Linked DNA regions of Coturnix japonica. The protein of the gene in region 2 interacts with the protein of the main gene of each other region in a biochemical or structural test. Links are inferred from orthologs where the notes say so. Each region holds a gene or a part of one and is shown on either strand. Other genes may lie near its edges.

Region 1 (4,950 bases), on a different chromosome or scaffold from region 2:
ATAATACATGCATAGTGATACTGTCTTGATCGTTAGCCCCCGATCAGCGGTAGGGATTTCCCAGTGACAAAAGTCACACTGGAGTTCCTAAAATATCCCTCACCACGGGGTTTCATCACTTATCCTTCCCTTCGTCTGTCCTACTTTGGTACCCAAACCATCCCTGGGGACAGGCAGGAATTCCCCTCGTGCGTGCCCTGCGCTGCTCCTTACCCACAGCACACCCACATCACACCACGAAACTCCCTTGGCCAGCAATGATCCTGGGCTGGCACCAAGGACAGACACAGGGCGCTGCCGAGGGTGACACATTGGAGCAGCCACGCAATGAGAACAGCCTGTGTGACAGCCCCACAGCTGCTATCAGCCCCGTCCCCGTTGCACAACACCGTGGGGTCAAGGCTCACCAACGCCCAGCTGGGGACCAAAGGTTACGGCAGGACGTACCAGCAGCCAGCTGTGTCCATGTGCTGGCCGGGAGCTGCCCAGTGCATCCCCTGTGCTCTGCATGGGATGTCAGATGGGGCTGCAACACAACAGCACGGCTGCTGCAATGCTCCAGGTGGGCCATGATGTGCCAAGTCCAAAAAGCAGAGCTGACAGAGCCGGGAGGGAGCGGAGCTGCAGCACATCGTGTCCCGTCCATGGCTGCAGGAGCAGCTCCAAGCAGGGCACACAGTGCCTGGTGTCGGAGGGACCCCAGCCTGCACAGCACAGGAGCAGCAAAACGCCCGGGGTGCCCACAGCTCCCAGCGCAGTAACAGCACCCAATGAGCAGCATCTGCAGCCCCAGCTCACAGGAAGCTCCTGCAGCCCCGTGAGCAGCAACAAGCTGCAGGCAGCTCCCAGCAGCCGGCAGAAACACGGGCTGCGAGGACAGCCAGGCCAGCACATTCACACGGGTCCTGAAATCTGGCACACGCGCCGGGGCCCCATACAAAGGGGATGCAAAGCAGCCTCTTGCAGCATCCCTGTCACGTAGGGCCAGGCTGGAGCTGCTTTTCATGCAGCCCACTCCTGCTCCCGAGCACAGTTGGCTCTAGAAGTAATTTAATACATTTCTCAGTTCAGCTCTCCCTGCACAATGCACCCAGCTGCACTCACCACACCCCAACCTGCACCCGGGGGCTCAGATGGGTTTTGCAGGGGAGAGCAAGCGCTGCATTCAGCATCTGAGCACTGTGAGCACTGGGCACAGCTGGCGCTGGGCAGCAGGAGCAGTGCTGCAGTGAAAGCCCGGCACGAGGAGCTGTATCAAAGCACTGCCGTGCAGCTGAAGCCTCCGGAAACACGGTGTGGGGCGGGGGGCCACCACCCACAGACAAACACCGGGGACAGTCCCATGTGGTGCAAAGCCCCAGCAGGGCTCAAGTTGTGTTCTGCCACCTGGGGCCACCCCCAGGACCCTAAAGCCATGCCCGCTGTGGGTGGGTGCACTCACGGGCGTCCTGAAGCCCATCATGTCCCCTGGGGTGGCATCCAGCTGTGGCAATGCTCCCTGCTAAGGGGGACCGTGTCCTGGCCGAGGTGTTAAGCGCTCGGAGCAGCACAGAGCAGCACAGAGCAGGAAGGCTGACAGCCGGCCGCTGGCAACACGCGTCTCCAAGCCTGCATGCAAATAAAGGCCAGCCCTGCCCCACAAAGCAAACAGGACTCTGACACACACGGACTCGCCGCGCTCCTGCCGGCACCGATCCCGGGAGAATCCCCACCACGGGGCGGCCGGGCACGGCCCGGGGGCACAACCCGCCCCGCTCGGTGGCTCCGCTCCCAGCGCCGTCCTGCGGCTCCTCCGGGTTCCCCAGGCTGGGAACCGGCCCCAGCCCCGCGGCTTCCGGCGACCTGTTGTGAAACCACCGGGCTGCACCGAGATCAGCCCGTGTCAGCAGCGTCACCGACTTCCTGCTCCCACACCGACAGGAGCTGTCAGCGGTAACCGCACGGAACCGTCCCACCCCCGCACGGAGCTGCGCACCGAGGCGTGCAGGGCAGGGCGCTCCCCGGCCCCATCAGCCGCGTCCCAATGAATCCTTCCAGCTCACGGAGCAGAGGGCGCAGCACAGAAGGACTCGGTGGCCGGGGGGGACGCGAGCACTGCGCCATATGTTGGATGCCGTGGGAGCACAGCCTGCTCGTTCCCACGCAGCGTGTCCTGCCCTGAGACTCCAGCTGGGGCGACGTGCACCCTGCGGCCACCAGAGCCCACGGGCGGCCCGTGGGAGCTTTAGACAAAGGGAAGAGTCAGCGCTGGGTGACAGCAGCACCTCGCCCTGCAGGACAACAGCTCGGCACCGCGGGCGGGTTGCAGGAGCGGAGCGCAGCTCTGTGTCACGGCCTCCCAGGAAGCGCCTCGGTCGCAACAACAAATACTTGTTTTCACCGAGCAAACAAAAAGCGGCTTTATCCGCGGCAGCCCCGAGCGTCCCTTAGAAACTGCTGCGGGCAGGAAAGGTCAGCGGGTCTCCATTCCTCACCCCTCTGCAGCGCCCTGTTTGTGCAACCGCTGACTCCTACGTGCTTCGGACATTCTGAAACCCGAAGGGCTCCGCGTTCCCCATCCCCGCGGCGCGGCTGAAGCCGGGCAGTTCAGGGCAAGAGCGGCCGGCGCAGCACGACGCCTCCCCTCGCCAAATCCTATTTGCATTTCAGAGGCAGTTAACGCCAAAAGCCTCGGGGCGACCCGGCACCTGCTCTGTTCTCTTCTTTGGAGGTGACGACGCAGCGCTGGGGGCTGGAAGTGAGAACTCCCGGAGCGAGCAGAGCAAACAACAGCAAAACCCAAAGCAAAGGACACACGGCGGCAGGAGGCCGGGCCGGGCCGGGCAGCCCCCCGTGCTCACGCGTCGCCATCAAGCTCCCCCCGCCCCCCCCTCGCCACACGCCTGACCCCGTTTCGCTCCTGCGGCACAAGGACGGAGCGGGGGGGGCGCGACCCGACGGGCCGAGACCTGAGCGAGGAGCGAAGCCCCGGGGGCACCGGGCCGGCCCTACGTGCGCCAGATGCCGCCCGCCCCGCCCCGCCCCGCACTCACTGTGTCTCCGTGGCCGCCCCGCTCCGCCGGGGGCTCCCGCTGCTCGCGGCCGTCGGTGTCGCCGTGTGTCCCGGGCGGCTCCTCGCGCAGCGGCTGCACCACGAGCAGCCGAACAGCCCCGGCCGCGGCCCGGATCCGCTCCACCACCTGCTGGTGACTCTCCCGCTCCACGTTCGTCCCGTCCACCTCCAGCAGCCGGTCCCCGGCGCGCAGCCCCGAGCGCTCGGCCGGCGACCCCGCCTCCACCTTGCGGATGAACTGGCCCGCTTTGCCCTTCTCGCCGTGCAGGTGGAAGCCGTACCCGTCGGGGCCCTTCTCCATGCAGCACAGCCGCGGCGCGGCGGGTCCCGGCGGAGCGGAGCTCATGGCGGCCGAACTACGACCCGCGACTCAACGCTCTGCGCCCGCCCGCCACCGGCGGCGGCTTTTATACCGCGGGGCGGGGCTGGAGGCGGAGCCGGCCAATCAGAGAGGGAGGGGGCGGGCTCAGGACGGCGATAAGGCGGAATTATGCAAATAACGACCGGTTATGCAAATAAGGGAGTGGGCGGGGTTATGCAAATGTAGCCCCGAGGGCGCGGGCAGCGGAACCGCAACGCGACGGAGCGACCCACCGGGACCCAACGGGACACACCGGGACACACCGGGACCCACCGGGACCCAACGGGACCCAACGGGACCCAACGGGACCACCCGGATCACACAGCATCACACAGCATCATCACACAGCATCGCCATTCAGAGCCGGTTACGGGGGCTACGAAACGCCCCGGGATGGGAGATCAGCGCGGGTGGGAAGGCAGAGCGGGAGGGGATGGGGGGGGTGGTGCCCTTTGGGGAGCGCTCCTCTCGTTCAGGAAACGAGCCCCGGCCCCGGTAGCGGCGGTTGTAGCGCGGGGCTGCGATAAGAAACGAGCCCAGAGCGACAGGAAACACGGAGCTGCTGCTGCGGCCCGTCCCGACAACAGCTGCGACCCACAGAGCGGACGGGTCCTGGGGGGTCTGTACAGCCCCGCACAGCCCCGTACAGCTCCGTACAGCTCCGTACAGCTCCGTACAGCCCCGCACAGCTCCGTACAGCTCCGTACAGCTCCGCACAGCTCCTGCAGCGCCGGCACAGCCCGGCTGAGGGTGGGAAGCAGCGCGGAGCCAAGAGCCGCTTGTGCTGAATGTCCGGCATTTTTCGCAGCCATGAGCCGAGAGGCGGCAGCTGATGCCATTGGTGGGAAGCCGGAGTTATTTGGGGAATGCTGGACTCCGCACCATGAGAACAGCAGGGGAGGAGGTTGGTTTTAATTTAACAGGCCGTGTTTATTCTTCCCCTCTCACCTTTGGACTGTCTGAAATGTGCGGCCCGAGCGCTGGGAGTTGGAGGGGGCTGCGGGCTCTTCCCCCGCTGCGTGCCCCACATCCCATTCCCCGCCGTGCTGTACGGCCGCCCACGTGGAGGGCCCGGGGCAGGGATTTCTCACACAGAGAAAAACAGGCAGATGCAAAGCCTTGAAAATATCCAGCTTTAATCTGTGCACTTGCAAAGAGGGACCCGAGGGGGGCGCGGGGGTGAAGGGGGCTCTGGGAAAGGGGGGTCCTCGTGGGGATGGATGTGACCAATTGACCCCAAGTGCATCAGAGTGGTGCCCTCTGCAGCTGCCCTTGGCATCTGGAGCAGCACACCCAGATATTCCCCGTCTCCCTGCCCCGTACAGCACAGTGCCCGGGGTGTGATGCCATGGGCCACTTCAGCCCCATCCACAGCCCAAGTGATGGGTTTGTCTGGAACGACTGGGAAGAAAAAAGCTTTTCCCTCAAAGGGAAGTAAATAACAATAGAAAAGCTTCCAATTTCTGCAGCTGCAAGAGGGGAAAACAAAGCTTTTCCAAAGTGCTGCGTGTACTGGAAGTGCCCTCAGCGGCCACCG
Region 2 (5,261 bases):
CTATACTGAGCTGAAATGCATCTCCAACATGGTGCATCTCTAACCTACATGGGGCACCGACACCAGCCCCGCAGCGCAGGGCCCCCTGCCTTTCAGCCCTTTACAGTAGGAAACTGAGAGCACCTGACCCCACACCAGGTCTCTCCAGCCTGGTCAGCCTGTTAATGTTTATCTGAGGAGCAAATGTTTTTCCAACCTGGCCTCCTGCTCCCCACAGCCACACACCACCCTGCGCCATCACACCCCTCTCGTTTGTTCACACTGTAATGTAAAAGCTGAACCTGATGACTTCGGGAGTGCTCGGACACTGCTGACAGCTCCAAGGAAGGTGCAGGTGGGCACGGGCAGCAAAGCTGGCAGTGACACAGAGCTCTGCTGCACACATTCCCTGCCACTCTGTAGCATGCACCAAGCTGGAGAGGCTGCAAGCAGAGCAGAGCCAGCATCCAACATAGGGTTAGGAAAGGGCTAAGGGGCTGCCTGACCTCCCAAACCGGATTGGGATACCTGGGGGAAGGCAGAAGGGAGCACGAGGATTTCTAAACCCTTCCCCACAAAACCGGGTGGGGCTTTACCATGAGGAACGCCAAGGGCTCAAGAATGAGTTTGCAGCCACCCTGCACCTTGCAGCACCTTATGAGCCGATCCCATCCAGCGTTCCCTGGGCGCACCCTCGGGGGCTGCAGGAACAGTGGGCAGAACAGCCCAGGTCTTTGCGAGCCTCCTATTAACGGTGCCAACCCTGGGGAGAAGAGCTCCCACGGGGCGCGGGGCCGTCCCTCCCCCATCTTTCCCACGTGCTTCTATAGACACCGCACTTTCACATCCTCCTCGGCTCCCCTCTTTCAAACTGCAGCTGAGGAAGAAAGCGAAGGGGGGGAGCTCCATTTCAGCCCCGCGATCGCTGCTTTCTTCCAGCGGGGTCTCCGAGCAGCGCCGAGCAGCACAGCCACCCTGTCCGTCCGTCCGTCCGTCCGTCCGTCCCCACCTGCCCGCTCGCGTCTGCCACCGTGACAGCCCATGCGCCCGCCGCCAAGTGCTGCGGGAACGCAATGCAAAGCCCGCTGCAAGGGGAAAAAACCCTTCACAAACAAACCGACAGACCAACCCAGAGCCGTCCCGCGGCCAGGGCTGCGCTGCCGGACTGTCAGCCCTCAGCGACAGAAAATAAAACCTTCCCTGCCCACCTCTACGGGCTGAGAGCCGAATTTAAACTGGGCGGCTACAAGAGCTTTGGCTGCGGTCTCGATAAAAGGACGGGCTGCGACTGCAGCAGCGTATCGCCCAGCTTCCCATTATCACGTTCCTGAGTCCCACACCCACTGTATCACATTCTGGGCAAAGACTCCGTTTATTTCTATCCTTATTTCAGCGGACAGTCCTATAGCACTTGGCAAAAGACGCATTCGTGGTTGTCGTGGGTTTGTTTTTTTTTTGTTTTGTTTTGTTCTGTTTTTCCGGGCGTTGTTTAAACTTTCCCACTGACAGCAACAGGATCAGACGCAGCCGACAGAGCTCTAAGCATCCCTAAAGGGGGGGATATGGGGGCAGGTGCTGCACAGCTCGGGGAGCACAGCGCTCCCGCAGCAGCCGCCAGCACCGAGCTCATGAGGTAGTTCAACATCGGCCACAGCCAGGAAGTTCTTCCTGGGACGAGCTTTCTGCACAGCCTTAAAATACCATCCCCCAGCACTCCTCACCCCCCCGGCTCAAGGGACCTAAGGTCGTGCACTTAAATTCATAACCTCTGCAAGCAGCCAGCCCACCCAAGCCACCCAGGGCAGCCTTCCACCTGTTTGCAGGAGGTTTGCTGAGTTTTAGGTTCCTTGCAGCCATTGAGGTTTAGGTGTGCTTTAGGTGAGGATCGTTATTATTACTGGGTTTTTGTTTTTCCTTAGAGGAAGGCTCATCGTTAGGAGCAGTGTGCCACGCCAGAGCCCATCGCATCTCAGAGCTACCCACTAGGCACAGTACCTTTGCAGTGCAAAAAGTCCTCAGGGTGAGGGAAGGAGCCCTCTTCGCAGAGCAGCTCGCAGGCTTTCTCTGGTGCCAGGGGGTAGCCGTTCTCCTCCTCGTTGTAGTCACTCCTGCCGTTGCTGTTTGAGTAGCCATTAGCGTACATCTTCAGAGCAGACCTGCGGAGGCACAGGAGCTCCTGGAAGGCGTACCTGAAGTCTGGGCTCCGGCAGTAGATCAGGGGATTGAAGGCAGAGTTGACATAGCCCAGCCAGTTCAAGAGAATGTACACGTACTTGGGGATGATGTCGTCCTGGATGACGTGCACGATGTTGACGATGAAGAAGGGCAGCCAGCACAGCGTGAAGGTGCCCATGATGATGCCCAAGGTCTTCAAAGCTTTGTGCTCCTTCAGGAAGAACTTGGAGGAACGGCGGTGCCCGGTTTTCCCGTTCTGGTCCTGTTCCTTGTTCTGGATGTGAAACCTGCCCTCACTCCGGTCTATCTTCTGCAGTTGCTTCTTGGCCACCTGGAAGACCCTGGCGTACACAAATACCATGACCACAAGCGGTAGGTAGAAAGAGATGATGGAGGAGGCAATGGCATAGGCTTGGTTGGTGAAGAAGTCACAGCACGTGTCCTTCTCATAGCAGAGGATGGCCTCATCACGGTCTGCCCGGTACCAGTGCATCTGGATGGGCAGGAAGGAGGTGAGGGCCGAGATGGCCCACACCATCAGGATGACCACACGTGCCTTGCTCTTGGTCAGCAGGCTCTGGTACTTGAATGGGGAGGTGATGGCAAAGTATCGATCCACAGCGATGACACACAGGGTCTCGATGCTGGCGGTGACACAAAGCACATCCAGAGAGGTCCAGAACTCACACCAAAAGTTCCCAAACTTCCACATCTCCATGATGATGTGGCAGGCACCGAAGGGCACCACACCCAGTCCCATCACCAGGTCTGCACACGCCAGCGAGGTGATGAAGTAGTTGGTGACCGTCTGCAGGCGCTGGAAGCGGGCGATGGCGGTGATCACCAGCACGTTGCCGAAGACGATGACCAGCACGATGAGCGACATGAGGATCCCCATGCCCACCACCCACACGTCCCGCGACACCGTGGGGTCTGCTGCGCTCTGGTTGGCACTGACGTTGCCGCCGGGCAGCTCGGTGCCCTCCACCCCCATGTCCCCCCAGCCGGATCCCCGGGCAGGCTGCGGGGGCTGCTCTCAGCGTTCCGATGTCGTGGCGTTTCGCCGGGCTCCGCGCATAGGGAACAGCAGGTGCGGGCTGTGAGCGGTGGCTCCCGCCGTGCGGGGCTGTACGAGCTGCGCTCCGCTCCAGATCGCCCCGCTCCTCACCCGACCCAACTCGTCCCGCAGCGTCTCACCCGCCCGACTGTCCCCAGCCCGTTCGGCGCCGCCGAGCTTATAGCAACACCCGCCGTGACATCAGCCCGACACGGCCAATGGCAGCCGGCGCCGCGCCTTGCGCGCACCTCGCACCCCCCCGTGTGCCCCCCGGCCCGGCAGCCGCCCCACGCGTGTTCCAGCTCCACGCTACAGCCTGAGAACGGAGGCGTCCGTCTCCCTCCCCACGCTGCGGTCCCGCTGCCCCCCGACACCCCGACACGGGGTTATGTGACTTCTGCGCTGCTCCCTGCCACCAAAGCGAACAAATATCCTAAATAAGGGCTGAGGGATCCTACAAACTTCAGTGTCACGAGAGATAACGTTCTGGCTGGAACGCCATGTCTGCGCATTGCTGTGCACGGAAGGGTCCCATCTCCTCGTGCTGCCGTCCCGCAGGTGGCACCGTATGTGAGCGGGGGCTGCCCGCAGCCTCTCAGCCAGCGCTATCAATACAGGAGCCGCCTGCACGCAGGGGGAGCTTTGTGGTTTAACACCGAGGGGTGAGCGAGGTGCTGGAATCAGGAAACACGATGAAGTTGCAGTTGCAGCAGCTCGTGCTTCTGGCTCAGGGGCTGTAACGGGTGGCTTTGGAATGCTTGTGAAGCAGCCAAGAGTGCAGGGGAGCACTAATGACCTTAGTTAATTACCAGGACTTTTCAGTGCCCACCATTGAGTTAAAGGGATCCACGCAATCCATGCAACGTATGGCTGCAGCCAGCTGGTGGAAGGCTGTAACATCACACTGGCTTTGCACCAGGTGAGGATCTGTTCCATCCTTGAATACAGGCTTAACACCTGCAGGCTCCTGTGCACTGAGGTTCCTGCACGGTGCATGCACCTCATGGGGAGAACACAGCAGAAAACTGCTAGGAAAATGCAGGTGGATCAGATGTAATGTTGGGGGAGAAGAGCAGGAGGGAAAAGTGATGAGTGTGGGAACTACATGTTGTGCTCAGCTCACTGTCCAATGCTCTATTTGAAGACCTGGTCAGAAAACTCTGCCAAATGATCAAGGTAAGTCTATGGTAGTAACTGGCAAGTTTGCTTCCTGTAAGGCTAACATCAGGAAATGCTCTGACACTAAATCACAACTTTCAGGAAGTATCAGGTTCCTTGTTCCAATAGACATTTCATGCTTATCCTTGCAAGAAGTGCTGTCTTGAAAGGAGGAGAGGCAGCTTTGGGAGCTTAGGAGAAAACACACTGAGTCTGGGAGGGTCGGAGCTCAGATTTGTGTCTCATAGCACATGCAGAACACACTTGAGCTGTCTGTTCATCCTGCACATCCTGGTAATGGCCCTCCATCCTTCTCCAGAGCCTCCATCACCACCATGGTGTGGGATGCAGAACTCAGCAAACCCAGCTTCTATCTCAGTATTTTGGCATTTTTAATGTTATATTCACAGCAGTTTGTGCCTTGCGTGCTTAGCGGGCCATGGTGGAAGGCAGCAGGGCTGAACTTTCTTCCTCAGTTTGGCAGCTCTCTGCTTGCTTTGGCCATCTGCTCACCTGCACGGGGTGTGCAGGGCTGCGCCCTCAGTCCAGGCTGCCTTCAGCCACGACCCAAACTGTGCAGCAATGAACAGCAACTTCAACATAAAGGCAGGATTTTGCCCCACATAAACGTCATCACCCAAAATCTGGGTTACTTCTGCGGTTTGCCTGCTTTTACTTGTGCTTTTGAGTAGTTTCAGGCTTTCTTTTCAAACAGAAATAATACCAAACATCAGAGTAGAGGCTGGGAGGAGGGTCCAGTTTGCATTCTTGCACTGCCCATAGTGCTGGGGGGCTCTGCCAACCCCACAGTGCCTCCTTCTGGGGGCCCTAGCTTGCAGGGTGTCAGAGCCAGGTGCACCCTGTTTATCTCACGCAGCACATCCCCACACTG
Region 3 (5,044 bases), on a different chromosome or scaffold from region 2:
CATGCGATCGATCTCGTGCTTGTCCTTTGTCTTGTGCTGCCGGAAAGGGCTGTGCCTGCAGTCACACAGAGTGGGGCTCAGCCATGCCCCTGCTGCACAGCCTCCCCAGCACCCTCCGTGCCTACACTCACCCGCGGAGCAGCTTGAAGAGCATGCAGCCCAGCGAGAACCAGTCGGCACTGCTGTCATACGCCGTTCCCTTCTGCAGCACCTCCGGAGCCATGTAGCCATGGGTACCCCTGGGGGCACAGAGCGAGGTCAGGGCCGTGCCCAGCAATCACAGGGGAGTGCCGAGATGGGCGGGCACACTCACACGCTGGCATGGGGTTTCTTCTTGGAGAAGTCACAGGCCAGTCCGAGGTCTGAGATGCGGACATGACCGAACTCATCCAGGAGGATGTTTGCTGGCTGCTGGGACATGGAGCCACCCCTGAGCCACAGCCCAGCCCACGGCCATGGGTGGCAGCTGGGCTGAGGGTGCCTGTGCACGTTAGGATGGGTGCAATATGGGGTGCAGGGATGACTGCAGGGTCCCAGAGATGCCCACAGTGCCTAGGGGCTTCCTGCTGGGTGTAGGGTGCCCATAGGACCTGGAGGTCTGTAGGGCCCCCAGATTTCCACACAGTGGGTGGGTGCTCATGGGGGCGGTCACCTTAAGGTCACGGTACACCACGAAGCAGCTGTGCATGTGCTCCAGGCCCAGGATGATCTCTGCTGCATAGAAGCGCATCTCTGCTTCCGAGAAGACGCCGTGCTGAGACAGATGATAGTGCAGGTCTCCCCCTGCAGTAACAGGCGCCAGCAGTCACCCTGGGAATGCCATGGCGGGGAGGCCAGGGGGCTGCGGTGCTGGGAATGGGGAGCAGCTATAGGCTCTCACCGTTCATTAGGTCAAGGATGAAGCTGAGCTTGTCGGGTGTGTGGAAAGCATAAGACATGCACACGATGAACGGGCAGTCCTGGCCAGGGAGAAGATGTCATGCCAAGCCAGCTGTGCCTCAGCACCCCGCATCACCCTGTGCCCTTAATCCCCTCACCCCTGTGCTGACAAGGGACAACATGATGCGCTCGTTGAGGGCCAGCGTCTCACCCTGCTTCATCTTGATGCGCTTCTTGTCCAAGCACTTCATGGCATACCTGGGGGCAGAGAGTCCCTGTGGGGTCCTGCTGCTACCTGGACCCACCACGCCCACTCTTTGACATCTGTGGTCAGACAGCTCCTTCCCCCAACTACCATGATGTATTGCCCCAGAAGGTGGAGACACAGCAATGCTCTGGCACCGCTAAATGCCCACCATCACGGCAACACCGCTCACCCCCCCTGCCCACAAGAACAGAGCTCCCCAGCCCCATTACATTTTGCCTGTGTCTGCTTTCCGGCAGCCGTAGACCTCCCCAAAGCCACCGCGACCGATGATGCGATGAACACTGAAGTCATTCATGGTGAGCTGAAGTGGATCAGAAAGAGGGGATCACCCGATGGTAGCTACCCCCTGTGTGTCCTGGGGGGGTCCCATACCCTGCCTCAGTCTCCTGGAGCTCCCTTAGAACCAGGACCCATATTCCCTCCCTGGCTGTATCCCGAGGAGCAAGGTCTCACATGGATGTTCAGCTCCACATTCTTCCACTGGCAGAACCGCGTGAACTTGTCGCTGCAAGGAAGCACAGAGAGGGTGAGAGCGAGGGACCCCTGGGGAGACCTCTAAGACGCAAGGAAGGGCAGAGGAGATCCGTATTGTGGAGAGGACCCCATGTGGGAAAAGAGACCCCAGGCCAGAACTGGGAGTGACACTGGCCCAACTCTCCAGTGTGGGGACAGACAGCACTGGAACTTCTCAGCAGGAGCCCTGCAGCACCCTGAGAGACAGATCTCCCTGGGCAGTGCTCCTGTCTCACCTCTCAATGAATTTCTGGAAGATGCTCCCACGCAGGTTCTGGCAGATCTCCTCAATGTAGGGCTATGGGTAACACGGGGGTCAGCATTACATCCCCAGTACCACCCAGGTCCGCCCCATTCCCTGCAGGTCCCACCTCTAGGTGGGATATCTCACACCTCCACTACCACCTTCTGCCACCCAAGGCCAGCTGTCTCTGGTGACCCCAGTGCCACCATCCCCTCCACGTCACGGACAGCACTTACCTGGAAGAGGTCTGGGGGCACCTGCTTCTTGCTCAGGAGGCTCTGCACGTGCTCTGTAGCACTCTTGGAGAATGGCTGCAGGGCAGGACAGCACCACATCACCGTGAGGAGGTGGACACGGTGGTGGAATCTCCTGTGGCTTGGCACGATGAGGCACAGCACTCACATGGGAGCAGGCCAGCAGCTCCTTCATGATGTAATGGTCGTAGATCTGGCGGCTCCTGCTCAGGCGCTCCTCCTCCGAGTCCAGCTTCTCGTATTTCTTGATCTGCCAAGGACACAGATTGCATGGTGAAGAGGGCACAGCCCCACAAGGAGCACACAGTGCACAGTGTCTCGTGGACACCTGTGGATATCAGGACCCTGGGCACTGAGTGCATTGCTTCCAGGCATCCAGGGCACCACCTCCCCCAGGTGCATCAGAGGGTACCCCATCCCCAGCCCCACATCACACCTCTTCGTAGAACTCCATCAGGGACTTGGCTTCCTCAGCCTGGTTGAGGGCGAAGTCCCGGAACAGCAGGTACCCTGGGGTAGAGGCAGTGCTGCGAGCGGTGACCGCATCACAGTGTGGCACCCAGGCCGAGCGATGTGGTGCCACACAACAAGAGCACAGCAGGCTGAGAAGGGCTGTGGGGCTGCCAGAGGAGGGCTATGGAGCTAAGCAGGGCTGTGGGGCTGCCAGAGGAGGGCTGTGGGGCTGCCAGAGGAGGGCTATGTGGCTGCCAGAGGAGTGCTATGCGGCTGCCGGGAGGGCTACTAGGCTGCCAGAGGAGGGCTATGGCGCTGAGCAGGGCTATAGGGCTGCCGGGAGGGTTATGGGGCTGCCAGAGGAGGGCTATGGGGCTGCCAGAGGGCGGAGGTGCCGGAAACCACCAGAGCCGCGGGGAGGAAGCAAGAGGCGCTTCCTGCCCAGGACAGTTAGTGCGAGGGGAAGCGGCGGGGCGGGGCAGGGCGGACCGAGGGGGGGGGGGGGGAGGACCCCACCCAGCCCCTCCGCAGCCCCACGGCGGCGCCCGCAGCCCCCACTCACCGATTCTCTGCGCAAAGATCTTGTCGAAGGTTAATTCGCCCCTTTCCTCGAGGTACTTCTGCATGACGCTGCGGATGCTGGGGGGCGGCCGGGGCTCAGCTCGGCCCACACTGCCCCATACTGCCCCTACGCGCCCCGGTGGTGTCTGGGGACGGGGGCTCCGTAGGGGCACGGCGGGGCCGAGGGCGGCAGGGCAGGCAGGGCCCGGCCCGGTGCCCCCGACCCGACGGCACTCACCTGGGCTCGGGCAGTAGGATCCGTTTGGAGGCGCGGGCGGCGGGTGCGGCCCGGCTTTTCTCCATGGCCATCAGGTAGCTCACGTCGGCCAGCACAGCCTCCAGATCCGCCATCTTGCGCGGGGCCGAGGCCGGCACCGGCCCGACCCCCAGCAGCGACCCGGAAGCGGAAGTAGGAGCAGCCGGAAACGCGTTGGGCTGGGCCCGAGCTGTGCGCGGGGCTGAGCCCGGAGCTGCAGTATGGCAGTAGTTGCAGTAATGCTGGAGGAGCAAAGATGTCCAACCCAGCTCCGCAAACAACCCAACAACCAACAACCAGCCAGGAACAAACGGCCCCTCCGTGCCCCCAACACCCCCCGGCCCCAACGCAGAGAGCGCACGCGACTTGGTTTTGCTTGAACCCTTAACGCTTACATTTAATTTGAAAGCACAAACATCGGCTGGACTCTAAATTGCCAACAAAAAATATATATTTACAATATGTCTCCGAGGGGGGAGAAGGGAGGAGGGGGGGGTCGAAACGGAACGAAAACACAACGAAACCTTTAAACGATGGGGAGTTGTTGCGGGAGGCAGCCGGGCGCGGTGCGGGCGCTTTAAATCACTGAGCGATCCCATATACAGAACTCTCTCTTTGTGTATTGGGAGCTCGCTGTCCCTGCGGGGCTATGGGGCTGTATGGAGGGGCTGTATGGGGGGGGTCCCGCACCGCTCCCCTCGCTTCTGTCCTGGTGGCAAAACTCAAACAAATGAACCCAAGAAGAAAGAAAAACGCCGCAGCAACAGCCACCAGGACAGAGATGGGGGCTCTGCCCCCTCCTTCCCTAAACCCCCCCCAGCGCTGCTCACAGCCCGCCCGCAGCCTCCTCTCCTCCCTTATTGCTTCTGGGGGCTGCGCTGTGCCATGCACCGGGGAGAGGAGCAGCAGCCGGGCACGGGCAGGGAGGGGAACGAAAGAGCGACCCAAAAGATGCCAACTTTTTTTTTTCTTTTTTTTTCCCTCATATCTTGAGTTTTTTTTCCGATTTTTTACTTTTAATTTTTTTTGCTTTTTTTTTTTTGTTTTTTTGTTTTTTTTTTCTTAAAGTGCAAAAAGCTCTCTGCTGCCCAAGAGAGAGGTTCTTTGGACCAACCGCTCATTGCAAAGGAAAAAACGGCAGCTAAAATGGGGTGGGGGGGAGGGTGGGAGATGAGAGGACAAGGCAGCGAGGCAGCCCTGCCACACGAATGTCAGCGCTCGGCCGTGGTAGGCAGCTGGGGAGGGAGATGCAGCAGCTTCCTCCCCCCCCCCCCCCCCCCCCCCCCCCCCCCCCCCCCCCCCCCGTGCTCACTCACCCGCGGCTGATTATTCGAGTCCTCCCTGAGCTCTGGGGGCTGCTCCCCCAGCCGAGCCTCGGCCACTGCCTGTGCACAGGGCTCTGAGGAAGCGCCCCAGGGTGGAAGCCCCATCCCCAACCTTGCCGCCATGCCCAGGCTGGAGGGCTCCTGCCCTCGCTGCTGCAGGGGAAGAAAGGAATCCAAGGGCTGGGTGAGGGGGTTTAGAGCAGGGCTCGAGCTGGTGGTGGCACCGAGAGAGAGGGCCCGTCCCAGCTCTGCTCCCTCCTCCTTGGAGAGGCCTCAAGCTTTGTGCTAACA
Region 4 (4,523 bases), on a different chromosome or scaffold from region 2:
ATGCTGGCTTTACCTCCTGACTATCTGTTTCCAAGAAGTGTAAAGGACTTCCTCTTTGTGTTTATCCCGTGTCATCTCAGAGCACAGTATGCTAAATATATAAGGTTTAATCTCCAGCAGAGTTAAAAAGAAACAAACACCCTACTATACAGTCACAGGAGATGAAGCAGCACACACACACTGCTGCAAACAGATGTCTTCTGCTTTAATTCATGCTTTAGAGCATCCTAAATTCAATCCAAAAATAAATCGGATTTTTTTTGGGGGGGGGGTGTTCCTATGTTTATTTTAGGATTGGTTGAACTTAAGCTAGGATTGCGCCCACGCGTATTTCATAGCCTTGCGCTGTTGCCACGTGTGGGTTAAGCATGTAATTTCAAAGTGAAGGGAAAGTACATGTCAAATCCTGAAGCCCTGTTTCATAATACACATCACAGTGATCAAGATTGTGTACGCAATACAATATTCCCAGGAGAAAACCGTCCTCTCAATCTCGCACATCAGCAGCTGCACACTCTAAAAAGCATCAGAAGAAATGCAAGCTTAGAGAAATAATGATTTACCTGGTGCAATTCTCCCATCTTGCGCAGCAGGTCCATCTTTTAACACGTTCTTCACCTGGAGAAACTCATCAGGCCTGTCCCCTCCGATGATGGTAAAACCAAAACCCATCGTGCTTTTTTTCAGTGAGGTCCGTATAAGTGCTCCTATAAGCTGGGAGGGATCTCTAGTGAAGAGAGACTTCTCTGCCCCTGTGCATGATAAGATGCAATATAATCAACCATCAGCAATGCTGCTTTATGGCGGCCACTACATCTCCAAAGTACGGTGACCACAAGCACACGTAAAACAGACAATCAGAGAATTAAGGAAGATATCTTAAAGCCTGGCTACCAAACTTGCATGTTTTCCAAACTGTATTACAGATTAAAACAGGGGACAAATGAAATCTCCCACCTCTAATTTCTGGTTTTACTCTCTTACCCTTGACGTCAATATATATTTAGTGATACCTGATTTTGAAGGGCCACCATCAGTCTGTCCCAGTTGTTTTTTCCTTTTGGCTTCCAACACTGGGTTTTCAAACTGAGTTTTCTGGTTAATGTGACTGTAGACAAAAGGTAGATTAAGGTATCAGAGGAAACCATCCTGCCTGCACCATCCCAAGAGACAACCCACAAATACTATTGCTTGAATGAATTCCAAACTATCAGAATCAACATGGAATGTCTTTTGTTTTTATTTCCTTTCAACTTGATTTACTTTAAAAAACAACGTGATTTCACTTGTAACCAATTGGGAGAGTATACCTTCATCCCACTCCACAAACTTCCAAGCTCATTCCTATTTATTAATTACTATCATTGCTACTTGCTTTCCTTCCCTAGAAGAACTTCACTCCAATATGTCAGCACAACCATATTATGGTCCTTCAGTGATTTAGAAATGTGCACAGCAGCCTCTAGAACTTATCTTTACTCAGTGCAATCTATATACACTGCTATGCAACTGCTTCCCTGCATTCTGCTCAGCTTGTGCCTATTCCAAATTAATACTCAGCACTTACTCAACGTAATATGTTCCATACTGTGGATCTTCTATTTTTTCCCATCCATAAGGAAGTTCTGCAATCAGAAAGAACAAAATTCTCCACTACTTTGGAAAACTACCTGCAAATATCAGCACTCTTACAAAAAAAGGACAGATGAAAAACATGAATTAAACAGAAATCACTTTTTTTTTCCCCTTTTTTTGTTTGAGACTTTTCTTCTGATGAGAAAACATTGGCTTATTCCAAGGAACCTGAAGCCCTGCACCTCTCACTCTGTTCCACTGGATCAGACTTCTATTTAACAAAACCACATCAATTTAAGTCTGTAGTAAACTTAGACCCAAATTAACCTATTTGGGAAGGAAGAACATATGAAAGGGGATAGAAAACACAAAGTCTGGTGAGATGGTAAGCAGCAGCAGATCATTAGTGACTAGAGGTGGCAGGCAGTTAAAACAGAGGTCCAATTACTTTAGCTTTACTGTTCTAGTTACCATGACCAGGGAAATTTAAATAGCTGAATAATTGACACAGCCAGGTAACCAGACATTCCGAGGGATAAAATTTCTGTGTAATCTTGTTTGAGGCTGCCCTAAGTTTGAAGGTACCAGCAATTTTCCTTGCATATGACAGCATGTTACCACTTATTAGTATCAGCATCACTCCACAGGATTTGACAAAAGACCCAGGGGGGCTATTCATTTAAACGTTGTTCATTTGGATATCCTGCATCTCTCCGTTTCAAGTGCTCTTTTTATCCTGTGGTGTGCTGCACGTATGTTTAACAAGCAGCGGTATGAGTCCATTGCTCCAGCTGGCTTCATTATGAATACATGATTGTTAGCCTGTGCAATTTAAGGAGATGACAGGCTGTTCTGAATCTGCCTCAGCTTTTGTAATGTGCGTTTGCTGAAGACTGAGCTACTTGGTGCTCCTTTTTTGGCTGACTAAATCACAGACTACATAGGAAATGGATACAGGTGTCGTCTGTGGGTCAGTCGTGAGCCTGACTTACAAGTCTTGAAACAGCAGCATGAAGAGCTGTTACCCCTACTAACACATTCAAATGTTATACCATAAAGCTTGTGATACACATTACTAGCAATAGGTATTACACTGCATCTTCATTCTGCATATATTCTAGTATTTATGGACCTTTTATCCCTGCCATGTTCCACCCACATAAAAATTTCCAGCACGATTGCTGCTGATATATCCAGCTTTCTCCTTAGCAATGATACTCACTGGAACAACATATATCATTCTCTTCTCAGGAATGCAGATACATCCATGATTCAGTCAGATTCCACGGCTCCAGGAAAAATCCATTATGGTCTTTCCCAGTCTTATGTGGACTCTCACTACCACTGAACTATGGATACTCAGCACTACACTCTATTTGCTCCAGTGGCACGTGTATCAGCAGTAAGTTTCTGTCACAGCAGTAATGGATCTCAACTAGCCCTGATAAACTCAACCATTGATCAGCCACAGTAACAAACAAGCTCTAAATATCTCACCTCCATCTTCACAATCTTCAGGAGCTTTGGCTTTCTTACAGAGCCGTGGATCGAGCCATGTTGTTGTCTTTGTGTTGTGGCTGCAGAGCAAAACAGCCCATTAAAAGAAGAGGACTTCCTCAGACTCAAGAAATTTCACTTTACCTTAAATATTTACTACCTCGGTCAAACCATAGTCATTAGATAACCTAATCCCTGCTTATGCCTCAGTCAAATGCTAAATAGAAAAGGTGACAACGATACTCAGAGGTGCCAGCATTGGAGACTCCTGAGGACAGATGTGAAACATGAGAGGAATGCTCTCCTGTGCCCCAGAAAGCTCACGTGGAAACACCATCTATTTCTACCTGAAAGCAGCAAACGCTTTTAGTTGTATAATTAACATTCAATTGGGTTTTTATTTCTTTTCACCTCAGAATTCATAATTGAGGCTATTTCACATGTGCACACATGAACTGCTTTTCTATCCTGAGCTTTAATCTATGCTGCTCATCTTTTCAAGCAGGCATTCCCAGCCAAGGAACTCATGCTGAGAAGAAAGAACACGCAAGTTCTCAGATGTCAGAGAGATTTGTCATTGTAAAAGTTCATATGATGCTATACCTTCCCTACCAACATCCAGCCAGCTTTGCATTTTATGAGATACATAACTCACATTGCAAACTGACTATGCACGTGGAGCCATAACACTTCCCTGCACAACAGCAATCAAATACGTAGCATAAATGATTAACAGTAAGGAACAAATGACAGGAAATATATAAAATTAAATATATAGGAATATAAAGTAAAAGAACAGGACAGGTCTAAGAGCATTAGGCAGCTACCCAGACTGTGGCTCTTCAGCACGTATCTTTCCTGCTGGCAGTGTTGGGCTACTCACTCGATGAAGTAGATCATGCCAGTGTCAGTGTAGGCCATCTCCCAGTTCTTGGGCAGAGGTTCCAGGGTTTCATCCCTTGACATGTAATTTCTGAAGTCCATGGAGCTGCTTGTCTGGTTGTAACTGGGAACAGGTTTCATCCAGTCAGAAGAATCTGAGTGTTTTTCTTTGTTTTCTGCAGTTGTTCAGGGAAAGCATTACTATTTGTCAGATGCTTATGCTGTTTCTCACTAAGCACCACCCTCTTAATCTGGCTATGAGAGAATGTCAAACACGTCCCTGGATGTGATGAGCATTTTTCCACTTTTTTTTTTTTTTTCCAGCTATGGACTTTGAAAAGCTGACATGAAAAAACTGAACTCTGTTCTGCCCCTGCCAAAGAGAATTAACCTCATATTATTTGTCTGAGCCTACGCTACAAAATCAGCACGGGCAGGAATGCGAGCTGACTAATTTGTTTCCCTCCTCACACAGAGAACAGCGTTTGTAATACCACCAATAAACAAATAGGAGTTCTACTATTATTCCTCAAAGCACCAACATTAAAACATAGAAAAGACCCAAACTG
Region 5 (3,235 bases), about 1.4 Mb from region 2:
GGAATGTGTCAACAGAGCCTGGCCCACACCAGCACAATCCTCCCTCCTGCCCTTGGCCCCAGAAGGGAGTTGTCAGCTGGTGGGCAGCAGCAGCACCATCCCCAGCCGCACTCAGAAGCGTCCAGTTCTGTCCTGGGGACGATGGCTCACCCACAGCCAGAGGTGCCACGTGCTGCTGCCAGCGCTGGAGCCATCCTCGTGGTCTTCAGAAAAAGACATGTAAAGTTGTAAACAAATCCACCTCGTGGGGCCACTGCTGCCTTGTCCTTCAGGCTGGGCTGTTGTTCTTCTGGGCACCCGGAGAGGCAAGAGAAGAACAGGCTGTGCTCTACAGCCGGGTCGGCTCTTCCTCACTGTCACTGCAGTTCCCACAACAGTCCTGAAGTCAGAGGGGCAACGAGAGGGAAAGAGAGAGGAGCACAGCAAGCAGAGGGTAAAGCACAGTCACAACCTGGTCTACAGCTGCCCTCTGGCAGAGAAACAAAGCTGCACCTTGGGACTCAGCTCCTAGCAGACGTAGTTGTGAGTGCATAGCTGACTGGCTCAGAAGCTGGGAGGAAGATGGGACTACAGGCACCCAGGGAGACAGCTCAGTGCCAGCGCATACAATCTGCCCTAGTCTGGACTCATCAGGTCACAGAAAGCAGCTGAAGCCCTGGGGAGGGAGCCTGAGCATGGGACAATGCCAAACGCTTCACAGTGTCTCAACTCTTCCATGTATCCAGGACATCCAAAGAGAGAAGGGATCCCTGGCCTTCTCGCAGCCCCCTGGGAACAGAGCTCCCAGCTGCAGCAGTATAGGGGCAGCTTTGGCTCAAGCTGAGGGTAAAGCTTCCCCAACAGTGGGGAAGGCAGCAAGAGCAGGGAGCAGGATTAGTGGCTCAGGGGGCAGTTAGAACAACAAACAGCTTGTGCTCTGCTGGGGGAAGGGGTCAGGCATTGAAGGATAACACTCCTCTTTCCCAGATCTCGCCATGTCCGTGGGCCACCAGGTATTTCCCTGAGCAGAGCAGCCAGGAGAGACTGCTCACCTCTGGAAAGAGAAAACGTGGCAAATCACAGCTCAGTCCCTGCCTGAGGCAGCCCATCCTTGTGCAGGTCTTGCCTGCCTACGGAAGAGCTGTGTCTTCCAGCAAGACGAACAGTTAAGCACAAATGGGAACTCGACAGGGAAGTCAGAGGCAGCACTGGGTGACTGGGAATGGGTCCAGGGCAGGCCAGAGCCAACCGTGCTCGAGTGCCACAGCTGCTAGCAGCTGTTGAGGCAGCAGCCCAGACTTTGCCAGTCCTGGAAAGAAGGCAAATACTGTTCTGGCCCAGAGGAGACATACAGGCAGGCGAGCCCACAGCAGATGCACGATGCTTCTGTTCTCCTCATCCCTAGAAAGCACTGCTCTCTCTGTCTGCTCAAGGCCTAGCAGAAGTGTTCAAGGGATCCCCAGAGCCTGTATAGACCACAGCAAGATGAAGGTCTTCTTCAGGGATGGTATTATTCACGTAGGAAGGGAGAAGACTTGCTATTTTAGAGCCGTCAGCAGCATCACTCTGTGCAACTGCAGCATGTTTAGCCAGGACACTCCATACCAGCCCCCTCAACATGCAGCAATGTGAATGTCAGCCAGGCAAGGGTTGGTTCCTTGCAGCCTTGCACAGGACTTCCCAAGAGCCCTGGGATTCAGCCCAGCAGGGGGACTCATATCTGCTGCCCCTACATTCCCACCTTCCTGACCGTTCTGCATCAGGGAGAGAGGGCTCAGGGCTGTGCAAGAAATACTGGGCATGCACTCTTACCTGTCTGCTGAAGAAGCGCTGGAGTAACCCTTTCTTGGGCTGTGGTGAAGGCTGCCCTTTCCAGTCCAGGTCTGGGGGCACTGTGCCATCTGTGCTAAACACATTCAGCTCCTTGAAACAGTCTGTCTCTATCATCTGGAAGAGGGCAAAAATGGCTGCAGCAACTGCCACACAAAGCCTGTCACTGAGAGCCCAGCAGAGTGCAAGGGCAGCAGTGACAGCAGAGTTCCTGTTGCCTGCCTTGTGGGACACTGCACACAGCCACAGTGAGCACAAGCAGGGGCAAAGACCTGTCCTGCAAAAAAGGTGTACATGCTAGTTCCCACCCACCTCGTTCTGCCAAGGAATGGGCACACTTCCTGTAGCAAACTTCTGGTAGAAGTCATTGTCTGTGGGCTCCAGTTCCACTCCTTTCACTGTGGAGAACTGCTCGATGTCCAGAACATCCTTGCAGTAGATGGCCTGGGGCTAAACAGCACAAACATTGCTCTAATGCCAGGCTGCACAGTGATAACACTCACTGAAATAACTTGGATACTGGTCAAGCATGAGCCCCTTCTACCTGCTTGCCTGAACTCTGTTCTGCCAGGCAGGGAGTACTGGTAAGACCCACTTGTGACCAGCAGCCCACCCTCAGGTAAATGGCCAGAGCAGTAGCCCCAGAAACAAAGAGGGATGGACCCCACCTCCTCAGGTGAGCCAGTGCAGGGCTCCTTCTCACCCTGACAGCAACAGTGACTGAAGAGGTGAGGAGGTGGACAGGCACTTACATCTGGCTTGAAGGGTGGATCCAGCATGCCCGCTTCCAGCCTCCGGAAGTTGAGGTGCTTGAAGAGAGGGTGCTCCTTCACCTCCCTAGCCCCTGCTCCTCGGCAGCCCAGGCGTTCCAGAGGGTCTTTGCACAGGAGCTGTAACACAAGGAAATCAGTGTGCCAGGAAGAGCATACTGGGCAGGAGCAGCCCTGGGGTTGGTGGACTCCTGCACTGTCTCCAGGAATGACATGGGCTCACAAGGCATCTGTGAGTGAGGAATTAAGGCACTCTGGACCCTCCTGCACTATGTTACCAGTGTCAGAGCAAGGGAACCTCATTCCTATCTGTGCCTCTACAGGGAGCAGTCATGATGTTTGGCTGCTGTGTGCAAAGAGGTGATAGGGGACAGGGTTGCACTCCTACCATGGTGCAGAGGGAGCGGGCACACGGCGAGAACTTCTCCGAGTACTCCTCCTGCACATCCTTCACCAACCGCTCCACCTCCTCTCGCTTGATCTTCTTCTTGCGCTGCTGGAAGGGGGACTGTCCCTCAATCATCTCATACACCAGGCAGCCCAGTGCCCACCAGTCTGGGCTGAATGTGTAGCGCTCATTCTTCACCACCTCTGGAGCTATACAGAAGCAGGAGTGAGAAAAATGTGAGATCAGGGAGAGTACAGTGCAGTGCAGT

The links.
Region 1: the proteins of ADRB2 (region 2) and SLC9A3R1 form a complex in vitro, tested with the Homo sapiens proteins (3 studies listed by BioGRID and IntAct, with this or other methods). The link is inferred for Coturnix japonica from reciprocal best matches to the Homo sapiens genes ADRB2 and NHERF1.
Region 3: the proteins of ADRB2 (region 2) and GRK2 form a complex in vitro, tested with the Homo sapiens proteins (2 studies listed by BioGRID, with this or other methods). The link is inferred for Coturnix japonica from reciprocal best matches to the Homo sapiens genes ADRB2 and GRK2.
Region 4: the proteins of ADRB2 (region 2) and MAGI3 form a complex in vitro, tested with the Homo sapiens proteins (2 studies listed by IntAct, with this or other methods). The link is inferred for Coturnix japonica from reciprocal best matches to the Homo sapiens genes ADRB2 and MAGI3.
Region 5: the proteins of ADRB2 (region 2) and GRK6 form a complex in vitro, tested with the Homo sapiens proteins (2 studies listed by BioGRID, with this or other methods). The link is inferred for Coturnix japonica from reciprocal best matches to the Homo sapiens genes ADRB2 and GRK6.

The regions. Positions count from the first base shown.
Region 1 is NC_029533.1:9,145,170-9,150,119, reverse strand, and holds the start of SLC9A3R1 (Na(+)/H(+) exchange regulatory cofactor NHE-RF1), read right to left. Parts: upstream 3,446-4,950; 5' UTR 3,399-3,445; coding exon 3,033-3,398; intron 1-3,032. UniProt on the Homo sapiens protein: Scaffold protein that connects plasma membrane proteins with members of the ezrin/moesin/radixin family and thereby helps to link them to the actin cytoskeleton and to regulate their surface expression. Necessary for recycling of internalized ADRB2.
Region 2 is NC_029528.1:10,593,907-10,599,167, forward strand, and holds the start of ADRB2 (beta-2 adrenergic receptor), read right to left. Parts: upstream 3,371-5,261; 5' UTR 3,149-3,370; coding exon 1,975-3,148; intron 1-1,974. UniProt on the Homo sapiens protein: Beta-adrenergic receptors mediate the catecholamine-induced activation of adenylate cyclase through the action of G proteins. The beta-2-adrenergic receptor binds epinephrine with an approximately 30-fold greater affinity than it does norepinephrine.
Region 3 is NC_029520.1:139,412-144,455, reverse strand, and holds the start of GRK2 (beta-adrenergic receptor kinase 1), read right to left. Parts: upstream 3,687-5,044; 5' UTR 3,524-3,686; coding exon 3,411-3,523; intron 3,251-3,410; coding exon 3,174-3,250; intron 2,669-3,173; coding exon 2,595-2,668; intron 2,409-2,594; coding exon 2,307-2,408; intron 2,216-2,306; coding exon 2,141-2,215; intron 1,959-2,140; coding exon 1,897-1,958; intron 1,653-1,896; coding exon 1,601-1,652; intron 1,449-1,600; coding exon 1,357-1,448; intron 1,138-1,356; coding exon 1,038-1,137; intron 960-1,037; coding exon 881-959; intron 784-880; coding exon 653-783; intron 412-652; coding exon 314-411; intron 240-313; coding exon 132-239; intron 56-131; coding exon 1-55. UniProt on the Homo sapiens protein: Specifically phosphorylates the agonist-occupied form of the beta-adrenergic and closely related receptors, probably inducing a desensitization of them. Key regulator of LPAR1 signaling.
Region 4 is NC_029541.1:3,744,897-3,749,419, reverse strand, and holds part of MAGI3 (membrane-associated guanylate kinase, WW and PDZ domain-containing protein 3), read right to left. Parts: intron 4,131-4,523; coding exon 3,956-4,130; intron 3,153-3,955; coding exon 3,073-3,152; intron 1,626-3,072; coding exon 1,568-1,625; intron 1,109-1,567; coding exon 1,014-1,108; intron 753-1,013; coding exon 564-752; intron 1-563.
Region 5 is NC_029528.1:11,947,681-11,950,915, reverse strand, and holds part of GRK6 (G protein-coupled receptor kinase 6), read right to left. Parts: intron 3,177-3,235; coding exon 2,968-3,176; intron 2,700-2,967; coding exon 2,562-2,699; intron 2,260-2,561; coding exon 2,122-2,259; intron 1,927-2,121; coding exon 1,792-1,926; intron 1,034-1,791; coding exon of another isoform or gene 1,028-1,033; exon of another isoform or gene 380-1,027; coding exon 329-379; 3' UTR 1-328.